Drosophila melanogaster: one gene and its partners. The protein of the gene in region 2 purifies or fractionates together with the protein of the main gene of each other region. This does not show direct contact. Each region holds a gene or a part of one and is shown on either strand. Other genes may lie near its edges. The genes, in order: CG1092, CG9372 and Hexo2.

The links.
Region 1: the proteins of CG9372 (region 2) and CG1092 purify together in Drosophila melanogaster (affinity purification with mass spectrometry, with the first as the bait; one large-scale study listed by BioGRID). This does not show direct contact.
Region 3: the proteins of CG9372 (region 2) and Hexo2 purify together in Drosophila melanogaster (affinity purification with mass spectrometry, with the first as the bait; one large-scale study listed by BioGRID). This does not show direct contact.

Annotation. Positions count from the first base shown.
Region 1 is NT_033777.3:4,263,960-4,270,001, forward strand, and holds CG1092 (uncharacterized protein), read left to right. Parts: upstream 1-2,810; 5' UTR 2,811-3,014; coding exon 3,015-3,246; intron 3,247-3,301; coding exon 3,302-4,254; 3' UTR 4,255-4,357; downstream 4,358-6,042. Other genes in the region: flip (flippy), read right to left, coding at 5,606-5,829, 5,889-6,042.
Region 2 is NT_037436.4:19,603,696-19,610,507, forward strand, and holds CG9372 (uncharacterized protein), read left to right. Parts: upstream 1-2,512; 5' UTR 2,513-2,885; coding exon 2,886-2,973; intron 2,974-3,137; coding exon 3,138-3,286; intron 3,287-3,345; coding exon 3,346-3,482; intron 3,483-3,550; coding exon 3,551-4,130; intron 4,131-4,161; exon of another isoform or gene 4,162-4,307; coding exon 4,308-4,580; 3' UTR 4,581-4,673; downstream 4,674-6,812. Other genes in the region: lush, read right to left, coding at 980-1,068, 1,129-1,279, 1,335-1,556; Lon protease, read right to left, coding at 4,731-4,973, 5,037-5,226, 5,286-6,014, 6,071-6,493, 6,557-6,812.
Region 3 is NC_004354.4:8,706,381-8,713,653, forward strand, and holds Hexo2 (hexosaminidase 2), read left to right. Parts: upstream 1-3,271; 5' UTR 3,272-3,428; coding exon 3,429-3,577; intron 3,578-4,194; coding exon 4,195-5,732; intron 5,733-5,802; coding exon 5,803-5,984; 3' UTR 5,985-6,098; downstream 6,099-7,273. Other genes in the region: CG2004 (uncharacterized protein), read right to left, coding at 6,218-7,025, 7,219-7,273.

The DNA of each region.
Region 1 (6,042 bases), on a different chromosome or scaffold from region 2:
GTGAACCCGATACAAGCTAAAAATGGATATCTTATATTTAAAACAGGATCAATTAATATACCTATAAACTATGAATATCACTATTTGTCCGTAAACTTAACAAAGACCGAACAAACTTTTGCAAATTTAATTAAACAAGCTGAAGAATATGGTACTATAGCCCAAATCCAATATTTAACTGAAAAATTAGACAGAGAAATGAATGGAATAAGAATAATAAAACGCAATAAACGTGGTTTAATTAATATTATAGGTACCGCATATAAATACCTTTTTGGCACTTTAGATCAAAATGACAAAGAAGAATTAGAACAAAAAATATACGATCTTTCTCAACATAGTATTCAAATTAATGAATTGAATGAAGTTATAGAAGTAGTCAATAGAGGCATTGAAGTAATCAACCATTTAAGCGCAATAAGTGAAGGTGACAGAAGACTAGAACTTTTAGTATTTAACTTACAACAGTTTACCGAATACATTGAAGATATAGAACTTGGTATGCAATTAACAAGACTTGGTATTTTTAATCCCAAATTATTAAGACATGATCCATTATCACATGTAAATTCCGAAAAATTGCTAAATATAAAAACTTCTACGTGGTTAAAATCAGATGCAAATGAAATACTTATTATTTCCCATATTCCTAGAGACATTATAAAAACTGCACTTTTTAACATCGTACCATATCCAGACAAAGATAATAATATACTTATAGAAAATGTAAATGATAAATATTATATTCAAGATAATCAAGTTTACAAACAAAACTCAAGAAAACCAATAATAAACAAATGTATTACAGGAATATTAAATCAAATACCAACAGAATGCAGATATTCAAAAACACATAACAATATTGGAATAACTTATGTAGAACCAAACATAATTTTAACTTGGAAATTATCAAAAATTGTATTAAATCAAAACTGTATAATTAATAGAGAAATTATAATAGAAGGAGACAATATAATAAAAGCTTTTAATTGTTCTGTTCAAATAGAAAACATATTAATTACAAGCACAACACTAGACTACACACAAACGGTCTATATCAATAACAATGTAACAAAATTAGAACCATTATCATATCTAAATGCTAAAGAAATAATTAAAGAACACACTAATACATACAACACATTACAAATTATTACATTAACTATACTTGCTATTATAATACTTACACTTATACTATATTTTATTTATAAATATAAAGGCATTCCCAAAAAACTAATTGTTAAATATAAAAAAGAGAATCCACAACAAATAGAACAACAAAATAACACAACAACAGAAAATATAAATACAGTATTTGATACTAATCCTGTATTGTATCCTAGAATATCCGCCTGAGGACAGGCTAAATTTAAAGGATGGGGAAGTAGCATATGTGCCATAGTATAAGACCACATATACTTACACACACACATACATAACCACATAGGAACAGCCATACACAAAATCATAGAATGCCTTAGGATATAAGTCATAAAATCATGTATCCAATAAGAACCCAAATTCTGGTGACAATAACAAATCCAGCCTACCCTAATGTAAACATTAACATCCGCTGCCGAATCAGTTATTCCCACCAAAGGGTCAAAACCGCTTACGCAGCTCAAGTTCTCGGCTGATCAGTACCCATGAGTGATCCACTCAAGAAGGCACCCAATCCAACAGACATAAACATCCGCAGCCGCATTCGCGACTCCCACCAGAGGGTCAAAACTGCTAACACAGCTTTAAGGGTCAAAACTTTCCACGTAGCTCAAACTCGGCTGATCTATATCCATGCGCAATCCACTCAAGAGAGCGCCTAATTAACGTAAACATAAATGAGAGCCTATGTACGCTCAATATGAAGAAGTAAATAAGCTCAGCCAAGGGTTTGCTAAGCGTTCGCTTTGCAAATTAGATTTAGATTTTATTCATACTTCAATTGTGTAAGACGTGAATTTGTCTCCGACATTCGCTTAAGTTTTTGATCAATAAAAATACTTTTTTTTTATAAACCAACAAATATAATATAATATATGTATATTATGTATGTATATGTATATTTAAATCATTCCTTTCATAAGCAACTGCACACTGTTGTCTACGCTTAGTCAGATATAACTCGTAATACTTGTGAAACGATGCAAAGCCCATATTCCAGAATAGCGCGATCGTAAAAACAGTGGGAGAGAAATTTTCCTGATAGGACTTGACATTCTTATCGCTTCGGAAATATAATTAAGCATAGGAACTCACTCACTGAATTAAAATAAGACCTCGAATTGAGCAATGCACTGTGGTGCGAGTGTAATAAGATCATATATAAATCCGTTCTAATAATTCAACAATATAAAAACAACAAACAACCCGAGAACTTTCGGGTGTTTTTGCATTTTCAAGTAAAAATGATAAAATAGGAATGTGAGCGTTTAATTGGTTTTTAGACCGTTTATATGTGCGCGATAAAATAAAAAAGGTAAAACGGTAAAGATTGATTATTGTGATTTTGGAGAACTGTTTGTAACTGTCTGCAACAAAACGTTCTTCTAAAGTCCGGATAAATTTTTGGTTAAACACGTTGAAGAAGCATAAGTTGAAAATGTTGAAAACACACCATAAAAACATATACTGAGTTGCACTAATAGGGCATTTTTCAATACTATCTATGCTTTTCAAACGTTCATTATGATAAAAATAAATTATGTCAATGTCAGCCCACAATCATTTAATTATTGTCCACTTGGACAGAAAATCTTTTTAAATATTGTCAAAAGTAATAAAAAAGTTTTTACTAAAAATTGAAACATTCAATAAGTTATTTTAGTTATTTAATACCAGGGGATACGGAGTTTTGTGCTTACATTTCAATTGAAGTTAAATAGTTTCGTTGCCCAGTGATAGACGTATTTGAAAAGTGACTCTCTCTCGAACTACTGTGCAACGAAATCCGACATCCGTTGAGGGGTCCGATAGGCTGGCGCAAAAGCTGGGTTGCCAGTGACTTGAGCTCTGCGATGACAACCTCAAGTCTTGCAATCGGCGCATCCGTAGCGCTTATTCTGTTGATGTTGACTGGTTCAGGGCATTGCCAAGTGGGATACGTGCGGCACCTGTCGGAGCTGCGGATAAGGGAACTTGAAAAATTGTCGGTTCGTATACAGGGCTCCATCAACACCGAAAAGTATGCCTGCGAGAGCTATTTCGACTACGTCTGTAGCCGCAATCGACCCCTCTTTTCGATCATGGGTAAGTGAGGAAAGCCTGTGTTGGGGGAGTGCCTAATGCATATACCCTATCCAAGGACACATGCCGCAAATGGGCGATCTTATGCAGTTGCTGACCGAGCTGCAGAACGATCCAGAGCCATTCGAGGCTAAGCAGAAGACGCTGGACTTCTTCATCTCCTGCAACGTGCACCACGCGCTGGAAGACTGCTATCGTGAGACCTATGAGTATTTCAAGCCACTTTTCGGGTATATAGTTACAAAAAACATGCTCAATGGAGAATCCCACGAGCTGGATGACTTTCTGGGCATTTTGGACCGCTTCGTCGTCAGGTTTCAGAAGGACAGAGAGTCGAATCCCATTCTCAGCAAGCTGGCCACGTATAAGCAGAAATTTAAAACGCCGCGAGTCTACTTCCATGCTAGAGACCTGAGCCGGGAGTACAAGGACCTGCGGATCTACCGGGAGAGCTACGAACACAACGTTCGCAATCTGGAGCAGCACAGAAAACTGAATTCAACATACGAATTGGGGGTTCAGCGCACCATGCTGGATTGGAGCATGTACCTCTTTCAGAGCCGCAACAAGCCCATGTCCTACTTCTACTCCACGTTTACGGTCCATTTGTACATGATGCTTTTTAATAGTCTGGAGCGTCAGCGTGATTTCACGCGGTTTCGCGAAGATGTGGAGTGTTTAAGGCTGCCGCAGTTCGTTAATGTTCTGGATGAGGCCAGAATGCTGGCTGTGATCTACTTAAAGAGCTTCCGAGCGGCCTGGATAGACTACAGCGCCTGGATCAACTCGCCTCCACAGAACAGTGGGATATACGATCAGGAAAATGGCGTCCTTCAAAAGTACCATCTTGACAACAAGCGTATATTTTTTACTCTTTACGCTCAGAACTTCTGTGAGTTTGGGAAGGATCTGGCCGAGCATGTCTTCTATCTGGGCCTTAAACAGAACAAGGACTTTTACGACATATACTCTTGTGGATTCCAAACGGAAAACCCTATGACTTGTGTTTAAAAGATCAAGACCATTTCTACCATATATTTAGTTTACGAGATACAATAAAAGCAATAACATTCTCATAAAGGTGTACAAACCATTTGAAAAAAATGGCTTTCACTAAAAAACAAGCGAAGTTAAGATACCCAAATATCAGATACCCGTTACTCAGCTAGTGAAAGAGCAAACGAGAAATTTCTTCCATATCGATTGAAGTTGGGAAAAAAATAAAAAAAAGAAATATATAATAAAAAATTTTGAAAGCGTGGGTCATGCATACGGGCGGCTTGTGGCCAAAAACTGAAATGTAAAACAAGAGAGAATGCTTAAGTCGAGTTGCACGACTATCAGATACCCGTTACTCAGCTAGTGCGAATGCGAACGCGAAATTTCATAATTTTTCTGGGATATCGATAGATGGGGAATAAAATGAAAAACAAATTAAAAATGGCTTAAAAGTGTGGGCGTGACCGGTTTGGAAGCTTAAGGTCGTTAGAGTGGACGTGAAAAAAATTGTTTGGCTAACCGATAGAATATTACAAGACTTATAAAATTATGAAAAAAATGTAAACATTTTGCAATAGTGTGGGCGTGGCAGTTTTGGGCGGTTTTAGGGCGTTAGAGTGGGCGTGGCAAATTTTTTTGGCAAATCGATAGAAATTTACAAGTCTAATAAAATTATAAAAACATATCAAAACATTTTTCAAAATATGGGTCAACAAACTTGCGCTGCCTCTATGTCTTAAGAATCTGTATGCTTAATCTCAACCTTATAGTACCAGAGATCTCGACGTTCACACAGACGGACAGACAGACGGACCAGGCCAGATCGACTCGGCTATTGATCCTGATCAAGAATTAATATACTTTTTATGGTCGGAAAAAATTTCCTTCTATCTATAAAATACTTTTAAACGAATCTAGTATACCCTTTTACTCTACGAGAAACGGGTATAACTGTCTTACACTAGACTTTGTATTCAAATTATAAAAATGGATATAAAACTTAAAACAAAGATGAATCCGAGATCTCGGAGTTTATATTGCAATGAATCTAGTGTACACTTGTACTCTACGAGTAAATGGTATTATTCAATTTACACTAAACGAATTTCATTGATCCAAACTCTGGCCATTTTGGATATTTTCAACGATTCATAGCGACCTTAGTCTTTTGATACCTTTAGTAAAAATTTAATTTACAGCGATCTGCAGGCTTTGTTGGTAAAACTGTAGGCCATTGTGGGGTTTCAAGCGAAATACTAAATACACCTTAAGATTAATGTCGTTATTGGATGACTTAGTCACGTGGGCTTTAATCATGAACCGTGCCAGAGTCCTTTTCTTCTTTGAAATCCACCACTGTTCCTCAAACTTCTTTGGTGTACCTCGTTATTGCAGTCACTGCGTCTGCGGTCGCGACTGATTTCTCCAGCCTAAACTTTTGCACCTCGTCAAAGTAATCCTTTGCCTCCTGTCTGTGATAAAGTTTCGCCAAGTCAGTGCAAGTTTTGCCAACACCATCCAAAGCCGCCAAGTCTGCGCCGTGCGTAACAAGGACTTTGATGAGCTCCATGCTAGCGTTCATAACCACTGCAAGCAAGGTGCGAATTTAAATTCGATTTAAGCAGTTTCAGTCCTTCTAGTCCTACCTGCGCGCATAAGAAGGGTCCAGCCGCAGACGTCTCTGGCCTCAGCATTCGCTCCCGCTTCGAGAGCGAACTTGACTATTTCCAGTTGATTGGCATCAACGGCGCAGTGGGCGGGAGTCATGCCGTTACTGTCCGTCGCCTCCAGGCGGGCCTT
Region 2 (6,812 bases):
CTATATATACGTGTGAATGTCATTAGACTCTTAGTTGTTTACACAGGTTTCCTCGAACATCCTCATCAAATTCATCAACTAATCCGCACACACGCTCTAATCGGATATATTTTTGTGAGACCCTTTTTGGAGAGATCTACATACATATATAAAGACACTACTCCTATACCGAAACCGAAATTTAAGATATCGATTACTCTCGATTACAGAGAACTTTGTACGCAGATTTGCAAGGCAACCATTTTGTATAAGATTTGCATTTATTTTGTAACCTCTTGAATGCAAAGATCTCCCTAAGTTTGAATGCATTGCTAAGCCAATTGGATGTTTATCGATTACAAAATGTATAAGTATGCGTTATGCAAACATAAAACCGTTGTATTTAGTTAATAATATCAGCAATAAACTATAACATGTTTGAAATCAATGCGGCGTGTTTATATTTTGGGGTGCCATTTTAATCTACAAAAAGGTTTTCAAATATATGATTAAAGATTGTTTTCAAAAAAAAAGATTTGCTTATCGAATTCAGTCGATTGCGGGTATATACATAATCGAAAAATTAATTTAAACAAAATGTTCTTTGTTACTTTGACAATATATAATTTCAGTTTTGATTCAATCAGAATTGGACGACTTTGTCATATAGGCATACGAATAGTCGGAAAATAGAGTTTCGAATGAAATAATATAACACAAACTACAGTTTCGTCGTTTTTAATCATAAATTGATGTTATTCTGTATACATAAGTTGTCTTTAATATATAAATTTTGGTTTCAATTTAATCAACATCATATTACTGCAAGGGTATATAAGTATATACTTCGGCTTTTTGAAGCTAACTTCCTTTCTTGTCATAATTTATGTTTTACGAATTCCAATTCTATTTGATGATTTCAACATAGATAATAAAGCAATCATCCAAGGATTGGTCATTAAAGGATGAACCAGTATGAATTTAGTTTCCAGAAACATTTTTAAGGCCACATGAACTGCCCATCGGCGTTTTCAGAGAAGCACTTGGCCGTCTGGTAGACCCTCTCGCAAGATTCCTTAAATTGTTTATCTGCAAAGATATACCTTACATATATTTACAGCTATGAAAGGTAAGTGTGGGTGTAGTTACGCGTATCCCGACAAGCTTCAACGGATTTCCTGGACATCTCCATCATTTCCGGGGGAACCAGATGCGGAAGTTGGGCCAGCGCCTTGGGAGCGTTGAACTCCCCCTTTTTGTTCACAGTGCCCGCCATCAAAGACACACACTTTGTGTAGCACTAAAAGGATAAAGGATTCAAACACTGGTGCCTGCAAAATGAAAGCGGCATTCACCATAAGATCCTGCGATGGCGGAAAGTTGAAATCACCCACGCGAAGCCGATCGAGATCTTCTGTTTTGAGCTTAAACTTCGGCGCACAGCCACTGCGGATCATGTCTAGCGAGGTCAAGAACTGCTCCATCGTCATGGCAACTGCAGGATCGGGTAGCAGGAGTACCAGCACTTGCAGGACGATCGCGAAAACAGCGGAAGAGCGTCGTTTCCAATGCTTCATGGTGGCGGAAAGCTAAATACGTTGAGTAACCATGTCGTAGGAGAGTTTTATAGGTGATCATGGTGGCAGGGAAAGGTGGTAATTAAATCGCAGGGATTAATAATTAAGTAACACACTCGCACGCCATTTGAGTTGACTAGGAAGTTGTATTTGTACCATTTGAATGACACGACAATAGTCGAATTTTAGAGATACCTGTTAAAAAATAATAAATAATAATTTTTAAACCAATTTTCAGGATAAAGTGGGTAAGCGATGAGTTTATAGCACCGCATATATGTATATTCATATGTATATGTGATCATATAATATTCCCAGAAATTCAAATCCAGTGCTCTACCTATAAAAATTGTTAAATAATAAAAATATGGTCTTCGCAATAATATTAAAATAATATATTTTAAATATTTTTTAAGGATATTTTGACTAATTATTTGTTTGACGCTTTCTATTTTAAACTTATTTTTTAGTACACTTATTCGGTATTCGTCTTATTACATAATAACATAATCTGCCAACTGAAGTCGCCCCATTCCATTTTCTTCGCCTCCATCATTCAATACTATTACTTAAATTATGTTAAAATGTTAAAGGGTTGGGTTTTAAATTAAGACATTAAAATCATTTCTGCAGTGACAATCAAACCGTGCATCGCAAATGTTTTCTTCGATTCCGGTTGTGCCGTGCAATTGATTTATTATTACTACTTTGATGTGCAAGCGTCAAAAGGCAATTAAATAGAGAATATAACTGAGTATAAAATCTTCCTTAGTATTTCGGAGATGATACTTCTATGGAATCAAAACCCACCGAACCGGATCATTTGCGATGCACATCACGTTCGCCTCGGAGAATCCAAACTGATCATCATGGGCACTACTCGCCCCTGGCAACATGTTGCCAAGCTGTTGCCAGCAACATTGAGATAATACACCAAATTGGGTCTAAGCTCAGAGGCATTAAAGGGGACGTCATTTCAGTGGCTCGCTTTCCGCCCTACAGATAAGCCAAGTGCTCGGATTAACTCAAGTATTATATAATAGTTACTATATCGCTAGCGGTTCCAATCCCATTAAGCTTTCGCCTGGGAACTGAGCATGGAGTAAGACGCTTTAATAGCCAGGAAAACCCCATAGTGTCGACGCATCGAACAGGTTCAACAGCAGTATCCAAGGCAAGACGTATGTAAATTGAGCCGATCTGAGCTCAGCTCCATATCGGAGAAGTAGCTTTAGCTGGTTGGAGAACTGTCAAAACAGAACTGATTCAGCGGGCAACGGAAGCGACACGCGATTAAAATTCCCACTGCACTCGCGAAAATAACTCAAAATGAAGGCATTTCTTTGGGCATTGGTGATTTTACTGGGCTATATCCCGCAGAGTACAATCGCCAAGACTGTATCCACTGATTTTTTAGGTGAGTCACGTTTTTATACCAACATAAAAAATTGTGCAGGTGCATTTAATAGCAAAGTTATTTATCAAAGTTAAAACTCATTTCACCCAAATACTTGATATTTCTAAGACAAATTCCAAGAATCTAATGTAAACCAAACCTAAAGATTTTCGTCTACCACCCAGATCTTCTCGACTTCAGCGATAATGATGAGTTTCAATGGGGGGAGTCGGAGAATCAGGTATACGAAAATCGCACTGGGGAAAACCGCGTCGTAAGTTTCCTGTCCCAACATCGCCTAAACAAGCGACAGGCTCCCACCTCGCAATTGCTGGTGAGTTTATGTCTTATGCATACATACCAGTATCAGGTAACTACAAATGATAACCGCAGGAGAACAAGGATTATGGAGCATGTAGCACTCCATTGGGTGAATCCGGCCGATGTCGCCACATTATCTACTGTCGCATGCCAGAACTTAAGAATGATGTCTGGCGTCTGGTCTCCCAGCTTTGCATCATTGAGAAAAGGTATATGAATTTTTCTTCTTAATGGCTTGGCATCCTTGTATTATATGTACAAATAATTTGTCTTTCAGCTCCATAGGCATTTGCTGCACTGACCAGTCGACGAGCAACCGATTTAGTCCGCAAGTCGTGACCAGTGCGGACGGTGATGAGCCGCGCATCGTTAATAAGCCGGAGCAGCGAGGTTGTGGGATCACGTCCAGGCAGTTTCCCCGCCTCACCGGTGGACGGCCAGCCGAGCCAGACGAGTGGCCTTGGATGGCGGCCCTGCTGCAGGAGGGTCTGCCCTTCGTTTGGTGCGGTGGTGTCCTGATCACCGACCGTCATGTCCTAACTGCCGCTCACTGCATCTACAAGAAGAACAAGGAGGACATCTTCGTGCGTCTGGGCGAGTACAACACGCATATGCTGAATGAGACGAGGGCGAGGGATTTCCGGATTGCCAACATGGTGCTCCATATCGATTATAATCCACAGAACTACGACAATGATATTGCAATTGTCAGAATCGACAGGGCGACTATATTCAACACCTACATCTGGCCAGTTTGCATGCCGCCCGTGAACGAAGATTGGTCGGATAGAAACGCCATTGTCACCGGTTGGGGCACCCAAAAGTTTGGCGGTCCTCATTCTAACATCCTCATGGAGGTGGGTCGCATATTAAAGTATATTTCATTTTATATACAGCGTTTTTATTTTGTTCTTAAGCTTTCAATTTCTTATATTGATCTAAACAAATTGGTTTCAGCAATTTAGTAACTCAAGCTGAACATAACAAAGAAAGCTTTTTTAAATTAAGAAAATATGTATTACTCCTATCTTCAGGTTAACCTGCCGGTTTGGAAGCAGTCCGATTGCAGGTCGTCATTTGTACAGCACGTTCCGGACACTGCCATGTGCGCTGGATTTCCGGAAGGAGGTCAGGACTCCTGTCAAGGCGATAGCGGAGGTCCTCTGTTGGTACAACTTCCCAACCAACGCTGGGTCACGATCGGCATCGTGTCCTGGGGCGTCGGCTGCGGACAGCGGGGTCGCCCGGGTATCTACACTCGCGTGGATCGCTACCTGGACTGGATTTTGGCTAATGCAGATGTCTAGGATATACGCAGTACTGTCTTCAGTTCGATGGTACATTCAATTTACTTGGCATTAGAATTAACAAATGCTATGGTCTAAATAAACTAATTAACCTGATAACGATAGATATTTATAAAACCTATCAACACCCGCAACACCCCCAAGCTAAATCTAAGAATAAGGCCACGTCTCCGATTTGGCAGCGGCCGCACTGGAAAGCTTCTGCAGCGGCTCCTGCTCTTCAACATTGTTGGTTGTCGTTTCGGTTACATCAGTAAACGCTATCTTGTAGACATCCTCGTAGGTGGTGGCAAAGTGAACCTCCAGACCATCTGTAATGTACGTGGGCAACTCCTCGAAGTCTTTCTTGTTATCCACAGGCAGAATAAGACAATTCACTCCACTACGACGTGCCTGAATGAGGGTGATTTATTTATATTTACACACAAATAGATCATTTATTTCTGTTTTACTTACTGCAATCGTCTTTTCCTTAATACCACCCACGGGTAGCACTTTTCCCTTCAGGGATACTTCGCCCGTCATAGCGATATCTTGGCGCACCGGCTTTCCAGTGGCCAACGATACGAGAGCTGTAATAATGGTGATGCCCGCACTGGGGCCATCTTTCGGTGTGGCACCTTCAGGAACATGGAGGTGAATGTGCCTGTAAGGGCCACATATATAGATTAACGAAAATAAGAAAACGCAAATTAAAAAACTTACTCTTGCTCTAAGAACAGATTATTGGGTTCCAGCGAATATAAAAAGTTGCGCGCCACCGTTAAGGCTATTTGGGCCGACTCCTTCATGACATCTCCCAAATTTCCGGTGATGTGCAGCGATCCGGCGACAGTGTTCGGATCTGTTTTTGCCCCCTGGCGAATGTGACGCCTTGAGGTTTCGATGTAAAGCGATGAACCACCCATGGCGGTCCAGGCCAGACCCATGACTACACCCACCGGTGTGGTTGCGTACATGCGATCTGAGCTAAAGATTTGTTTGCCCAGGAATGTGGTCAGATTATCAGCGTTAACCGGAAAGTGCTCGCCTTCTTTTTTGACCACTCGGAAGGCCACCTTGCGAATAACTTTCTCGATATGCTTTTGCAGGTTTCGCACCCCGGATTCCCGGCAATAACTGCGAATCAGCATGTTTAGGGCATCCTCGGAAATGTTGATATGCTTGTCCGTTAATCCACAGTCCTTCATCGCTTGTGGCATCAGATACTGACGAGCGATGGCGATCTTCTCTTCGGCAACATACCCAGACATCTCAATCAATTCCATGCGATCTCTTAAAGGCTCGGGAATAGTGTCGATCACATTAGCTGTGCAGATGAAGAGCACTCGCGAGAGGTCTACCGGCACATCGAGGTAGTGGTCCAGGAAATTCGCATTCTGCTCGGGATCTAGTAGCTCTAACAATGCTGAGCTAGGATCTCCCTGGTAGCCCCTAAAATAGGTTATTTATTATATTACAGTATATCTTAATGAAAGCCTTTTACTCACTTGCCGATCTTGTCCACCTCGTCGATGAGTACCAGAGGATTTTCAATCTTAGTCTTCTTCAGGCACTGAATCAGTTTACCCGGCATTGCGCCCACATAGGTGCGGCGATGTCCCTTGATCTCAGCAACGTCTGTCATGCCGCCCACACTAAAGCGGAAGTACTCGCGATTCAAAGCGCGTGCAATGGACTTTGCTATGCTTGTCTTGCCCACACCAGGGGGTCCATGAAAGCACAAGATCTTGCCCTGCGTAGAGCCCTTGAGGGAACTGACGGCAATAAATTCTAAAATACGCTTCTTGATATCCTCCATTCCGTAGTGATCGTCGTTTAGTGTTTCAGTGGCCTTCTCCAGGCAGAGATTTTCGGTGCTGATAACGCCCCAAGGTAGGGAAGTAAGCCAGTCGAGGTAATTGCGAGTTACACTAAAAAAAAGTAGTATGAGCATATTAGTTAAGCTAAATTCCAAAATATTTTGTAGAACTCACTTAAACTCGGAACTATGACTCTCCAGGAAGTTCAGCTTGGTGAGTTCTTCATCAATAACCGTCATAATAGCTTCGGGAACCACCTTATCCTTCAGCTTTTCGCGGTACTTTTCACCAATGGCATCCTTGTCGTCTTTTTCGATGCCCAGTTCTTTTTTGATGACTTTCAACTGTTCCTGGAGTATATATTTGCGATGTTGCTGCTTGACTTTTTCCTCTACTTCGCGTCCAATTTTTTGTTGGAGCCTGGAGAGTT
Region 3 (7,273 bases), on a different chromosome or scaffold from region 2:
TAATCGGCCAAAGGACAAAGCCATTTTTGCAATAGCCCCCCGCAGACACAAAACCCAAATTAACTTTTCCTATAACTTTGCATTTCCACACATGCCCAACGCCCAATTTTCCGGCCCACCCCCATTTTGGGAATCATATGACAACCCCCAGGGCCGCTGACCTCAGCCACGCCCCTTTTGCCCAAACCCCTCTTCGGTAGCTGCAACTTTTTGCGCTTGCTTTTTGTTTTGCATTTCCTCTGCTGATTTACTTTTTTTTCCTTTCATTTTATTTTATTTCTTATTTTGTTTTCTTTTTTTTTTCATTTCCAGCTCTTGGTTTTTTGTGTAATTTATTTGCCGTTTTGCTTGTAATTTGTTACAGTTTTTTAATCTTGCATTGTTCTAAGCAGCAGCATCCAGGGGCGTGGCCTATGAGGGGGGCGTGGCACACAAGGGGGGGGGGGTGTGTGGCAGTCAGCGCTGACTGACGCAAACGGAATGAAGAACCTAGCGGCTGACGGACTCGGCACTTGCATCCTGTCCAAAGTCGTGCAGAGAAAACAAAGTTCATATCATTTTTTTAAGATCATAATCATAATCATCATATTTCTAAAATCATCAGGTTCTTGTTTGGTTTTGTTGAGTTGCTATTATAAAGTTAAATGCAAATAATTTATATCCATGAAATGAACTAACAATATTTTCTCTCTGTGCAAAAGGGGCGTGGCCCAGGTGAGGGGAGGAAGAGGCCGCAATGTAATCAACATCATAATCAGTGGCGATGAACCCCCAACCCCCTCCCCCCCCCCATCCATTTGAATGCACTCGAAATAAAAGCCCAATATGTTTACTTTTCATTTCACCTTGAGCACTTAACTTAAGTTAAGACTTAAAATTTATAATATTGTTATTAATCGGATAGCTAGCCATTCGGTTTAGAAAGCTTCAGTAATTCTTTTGACCTTATTTTTCCCAGTGCAGACGCATCTGTGCATCTGCATTGTCCTGGAGCGACAGGAACAGCTGCAGCTCCTCATCATCATAGAGTCTACCGCCTTCCCATATCCATAACCATGTCTACATCCAATCCCCGCAGCCTGCCCCAACTCCTCCTCATCCTCCGCCTGCTGATTTCCATTCAGGACCTGATGTCCGAGTTGGGCAAAACTCATTTGGTCCGCCCACATGTGTGAAATCCTGGGGATGAGCGCGTGAGAAGTGCACATATGAGGTATATATCTTGTTCACTTAAATATAATCAAAATGCGTTTACTATTGTTATTGTTATATAAATATGTTGGAAAGCTAACTTACCAGCTACCTTTAAAAGTGGTGAGTATTCAAAACCTTGTTAGTTTTGAAATATGTATGTGCGTATTCAATAGTTTTGTGGCTTCAATGAAGCACGAAAAAGATAGTGCACGGATTATTTCGAGAAAAGTCGTGGTGAGTTTCGAGATCGTGTTGAATGGTGAGTGAGGGGAATCGTAATGTGCAACTATCGCTTCAGCCAACATCCCCGCATCCATCATCTCAACCGCCCGATTACAGCACTCGCACGTACTCTTTTTAATTATTATAATTTTACATTCTAAACACAGAAACGCACACATGCTCACGGGCAACAACAATGGGCAAAAGAATAAAGAGCGAAGGCGGCGCTATCGCATAATTCAAAATTCATTTCGAAGGCGCACAAAAGGCGCCCATGGAATTAAAATGGAAATGGAATTGGAATTGGAATCCAAGCCAGCGACCACATAATAATACATATTATTAATAAAAGAGAGAGAGAGAGAGAGAGAGATGCATGGGCGCATACAAGAACTAGATGTGCGAATGCCGAATACAATAAAATAATAATCAACAATGCCCAGTCGCACACACAAATAATGTTTTTTATTTCACCATTTTTTTTTTTTTTCATTTGTTTTCAACTTCAAAGCTTTTATCGAAATCATAATGAGGGTGGAACAACAGCGCGTTTCGCGACTAAAATTATGTTCCAGATTAAAACAAGTAGATGTTTTGTAAATAAATTTATTAAGAAAGTGATTAGTTAGTTAGTTGCTTTAGCAATATGTTCACTTCGTTGTTAATTTGAAGTAAAATAAATGTTCTTACTCATATTGCTATGAAATCAGTTTGGCTGAGTGGTACACAAATCAATTTGTCACTGATTTAATTAACTTATTAAGCCAATTAAATGGATTTAAAGTAATGTGCATGCAGAGTTTTTATATGAATGCATTCAAATTTATTACCCAACATTACCCATTTCAACTAAGGGAATACATCTTTTATTTTGCCTTACAGTCACGGCCTCAACTGTACGTGCAACAACATGATAATACAAGACGAATCAAATGCGAAAACTCAACGAAAAATCGACGCAGAAACAAATGATAAATACTAAAAAAGCACAAATATAGTTGTGTATCTTTGGAGGGATAAGACGGTGGTTCCATTCCCCATTGCTGAGTTGTTTATCTATCTACTATAAACAATAATTTTTTGATTATTTGTGTTAACTGAAAATTGATACACCGTTCTATCTTGTTTATAATTAACTGCTGCTTTGTTTACCTCGAGGGTGGAAACTCATTTGAATAATATTTTCGAGATGTATTATTGGAATCTTAAATGTTGCAAGTTCAATTGGCATATACTACATGTATCTACATACTACACATGTGTGTATGTACTTATGTTTAATTAATATGCTGGCTTTCTTAACTGCATTTGTGCCGAAATTTGTGAAGAATTAGGTTGATTTAGTTAAATTCTTTTTGGTGTTTTGCACGCTGGCAGTTTTCAAGCCCACGATTATTGTTGTTGCTGCGGTTCTTGCACCGCATATACATACATACATGCATACATATGTATGTATATATTTTCCATTTTATCACTCACCCCACAACTTCCGTATGTGGGCCACTCTCCAGGGGGTGGGGTTTGCTTCAAAGAGTGGGAGATATGCTGATTTCACAGCACTACACAGGCAGAAAAGACGTGGCACTTCATGCATCAAGTGTCCTGTTAGTATAGGGAAGCTCATTTAATAAAGCTGTAAAATCTAATTGCCAAGCATTAATGTGGAGTAGCAGTGTAATGCAAGGACTTGGCGTTTCTCGCAGTGTAATTTCAATCCGCGCTCTCTCGCGCTCTTGCACTCTCTTCAATTCAATTGACGATAAGCTCGACTTGTTATTGCTGTTGTTGCGGCCGCTACTGCGCTGCAAGTGAAATTTCGCTGGATTTATTTTATTCGCTTTTTCGATTTCAGCTCTTCAGTGTTGTTGTGCTCGGCGAGCGGAGCGGGTGGGCGGCCGGTTGAAAATAGCGAATACACCGTACACACCCCCCTAACACAACAAATATAGCAAATACCGAACAGAAATTATAAAAGCGAGCGGCGCAGCCAAAGAAGCCGTTAGAAAGAAACGATGCGGTTCAGCGGCTACAATCGTTATCAGTGCTTTTGCTCTGCTGTTGGATCGCTGCTGCTATTATCCCTATTATCCTTCGCGGTCGGCGCTGCGCTGACGCGGGCAGATGACGTCGGCAGCGACGCCGACGCCGGCAGCGCCAGCAGGTTTGTGTCTTTGCTTCATAAAGGAAATCAGTGCAACAAGTGCAAGTTTTTTTTTAAATACATGTTTTGTTTTGGAAGTATAACAATTTTTGCTAACAAAATGCAGTGAAAATACAAAAAACTGACTGTTCTTTATTTTCAATGAAATTTCAAGTGTTATATGCGCTCAGCAGACTAGTGAAAAAAAGTCCAAAAAGTCCACTACTTTTAAATATATTAAAGGAAATCTATTCATTCTACAAAAGAGAACTTTAAAAAACTGCCAACGGATAACAAATGGTTGGTGTCTATGCTCAGCAGGATATCCAATATCTCCTCAAATAACTGAGAGCAACAAGTGAAATCAGTCTTAAAAACTAGAAAATAAAACAAACAGAAGAAAACAGGTGAAAATTTAACTGTGCCAAATGCATTTACATGTTAATTTGCATTCGCTCCAAGTGCAATTTTCGTAAAGGGAACAAGTGCAAAAGGCAAAGCGACAGAATAAGAACTACTTTCTATGCAGCTGCATATATTATTGAAAAGAATTTGCAATAAATAAAGTGAAATCTGCTTTATGTATCTAAATATATATGTACTTAGCTTTATTATAGCAATATCTTCCGAATTTCCAGGAAATGGCTGTGCAGCCGGACGGATATCTGCACCGCGGAGGGCGAGATGGTGGCCGGACTGCAGTACGCGCCGGAGATCTTCGAGAGCCAGCGGGATTGCCGACTGTCGTGCGGCAAGTACGGAGCCATCTGGCCCATGCCCACCGGCAAGGAGTGCACCATATCGCACAGGCGGGTACGATTCGATCCGTGGAAGGTGCGTTTCCATGTTGTGGCGCCCGGCGAGGCGGCCACCCAGTTTCTCAGGGAGACGAACCGGCTGTTCGTCTCGAATCTGCTGAAGGAGTGCATACGAAACTGCACGCTGGAGACCAGCAAGCAGATTCTGGTCAGATCCACGGTGGCCAACGAGAGCCTCGTTCTGGACTGGCCCACCGACGAGAGCTACGCCCTGGTGGTGCGAACCACTGAAACGGCCACCTTTGTGGACATCCAAGCGACGACGGTGTACGGTGCACGTCATGCCTTCGAGACGCTGAGCAACCTGGTCACCGGCAGCCTGTCCAATGGCCTGCTGATGGTCACCACGGCCAACATCACCGATCGTCCGGCCTTTTCGCATCGCGGCGTCCTTCTGGATACGGCCCGTAACTTTGTGCCGCTCAAGTTTATACGCAGCACCTTGGATGCGATGGCGGCCAGTAAGCTGAATGTGCTCCACTGGCATGTGGTGGACACGCACAGTTTTCCGCTGGAGATCACCAGGGTGCCGGAGATGCAGCGTTACGGAGCGTACTCCTCATCGCAGACGTACTCGCGCCAGGATGCACTGAATCTTGTGAAATATGCCCGACTGCGGGGCATACGGATACTGATCGAGATCGATGGACCCTCGCATGCGGGCAATGGCTGGCAATGGGGTCCTGCCGCCGGACTGGGCAACATGTCCGTGTGCCTGAATCAATCGCCCTGGAGGAGATTCTGTGTACAGCCACCGTGCGGCCAACTGAATCCCCTGAACGATCATATGTACGCAGTGCTCAAGGAGATCTTCGAGGACGTAGCCGAGGTGGGCGCTCCCGAGGAGACCCTGCACATGGGCGGCGACGAGGTGTTCCTTCCCTGCTGGAATAACACCGACGAGATTCGGGATGGGATGCGGGCACGTGGCTACGATCTCAGCGAGCAGAGCTTCCTGCGGCTGTGGTCGCAATTCCATCAGCGGAACCTCAATGCATGGGACGAGATTAACGAGCGTATGTATCCGGGCATCAAGGAGCCGAAGTCGGTGATCATCTGGTCCAGTCACCTCACCAATCCCCGGTACATCGAGACCTACCTGCCCAAGGAGCGGTTCATAATCCAGACATGGGTGGAGTCACAGGATGCCCTCAATCGGGAGCTATTGCAGCGAGGCTACCGACTGATTGTGTCCACGAAGAATGCCTGGTACCTGGATCACGGCTTCTGGGGCAGCACATCGTACTACAACTGGCGCACCGTGTACTCCAGTGGCATGCCCGTTGGTCGCAGCAAGGATCAGGTTCTCGGCGGTGAGGTGTGCATGTGGAGCGAGTATGTGGATCAGAACTCACTGGGTATGTAAACGCTAGGGAACCAAACGGTGAACCAAACCCATTTAATTAAACCCAATCCAATCCCCTACAGAATCCCGAATCTGGCCGCGAGCTGGAGCAGCAGCCGAGCGAATGTGGTCAAATCCAAAGTCTTCAGCCCTGTTGGCCCAAAGAAGATTCTACCGCTACCGGGAGCGACTCCTGGCGCGCGGAATCCATGCGGATGCAGTTATTCCGCACTGGTGCGTCCTCCACGAAGGACAGTGCCTCTAAATCGGTCGTTCCGAACCTAGTTTTAGCACCAGCACATACCATGTACATACCTTTCAAACTATGTTATTTTATTCATCAGTTATTGCCCATAAAGATCTGTTTTTAATCCAATCCAAAATGTGTTTATAATATGCTTTTAATTATCTGGAGTTACGTTTTGTACATTATATGGGTTACAATTACGAAATACCCAATACTATATGAATTCGATTTTATCATAGAAATTAATGAGCTCACTTAATGTAGCCCTGATCGATGGCGTGCTTGAAGATATCAGCCAGTCGCTGCTGCTTGGCGGACTCCTTGAAGGGTGTGATATTCCAGATGTCGGTGAGAATGGCGTTCTCCTTGATTCCATCCAGATCGGCCACCTCATCGTCCTCCATCATCGTCATCGGCAGCGATTCGATGCCCATGCCGCAACCAAAGCGACCAAAGTTCTTTAGCTCCTCTTGCAGTGATTCCCAGGAGATGATAGACTCTGCATTGCCACCGAGATCCTGAATCAAATCCTGGGCGCTCTCCAGGTAGGCGCGGAGCAGCTCATCGTAGTGCTGTTCCCTCAGCTCCTGGCTAGTGCAGGAATAGATGAAGAAGCTCAGGTCGAGGGCCAAGGAGGAGCACCTGGCCAACTGGAAATCAATGATGATGATCTCCTCCGATTGTCCCCGTTCGTTGTACTTGGTCAGAAAGTTGGGCGTCCAGCAATCGCCGTGCCCGAAGACACTCAACTTGGAGCGAGTGGACACCAGATTGATCAGATCATCGAACAGCGGCGGCTGCAGGAAGTTTGTGGCCACAGTCTCGTATTTGCTATTCGGATAGATCTGCTTGACGGCGTCCGTGGCCACATTCTCCGCCAGCAGGAGGAAGCCCGTGTACCACTCGCGGGTGTGTTCGCCATAGTAGGTCTCCTCCAGCGAACCAGCAGCCTTCTCGAAGTTCTTGCTATCCAGGGCATTGAAGGCCAGGGCCACGCCATGGAAACGACCCAGGGTCCGCATCGTCAGCAGGGCATCTTCCAGCGAAATGTAGTCTTGACTGCAAGGTAAGGTAAGGTAATTGAAGTAAATGTAGTTGTATAATTTATAATCAATAAGGGTTAATGGTATTAATGGTAGATATTGAAATAATCTATTGTATGGGAAGTCGACAGATAGTGTAGTTACACTTATTTATAGAAAGCTGATTTCATACGAAAGGGGTGGAGGAGGAGGAGGAGGAATAAACTAACCGTACAGGTGCCCTGTAGCCCCTGGGACCCACATCCTCCAGGGCGATGAAATCGT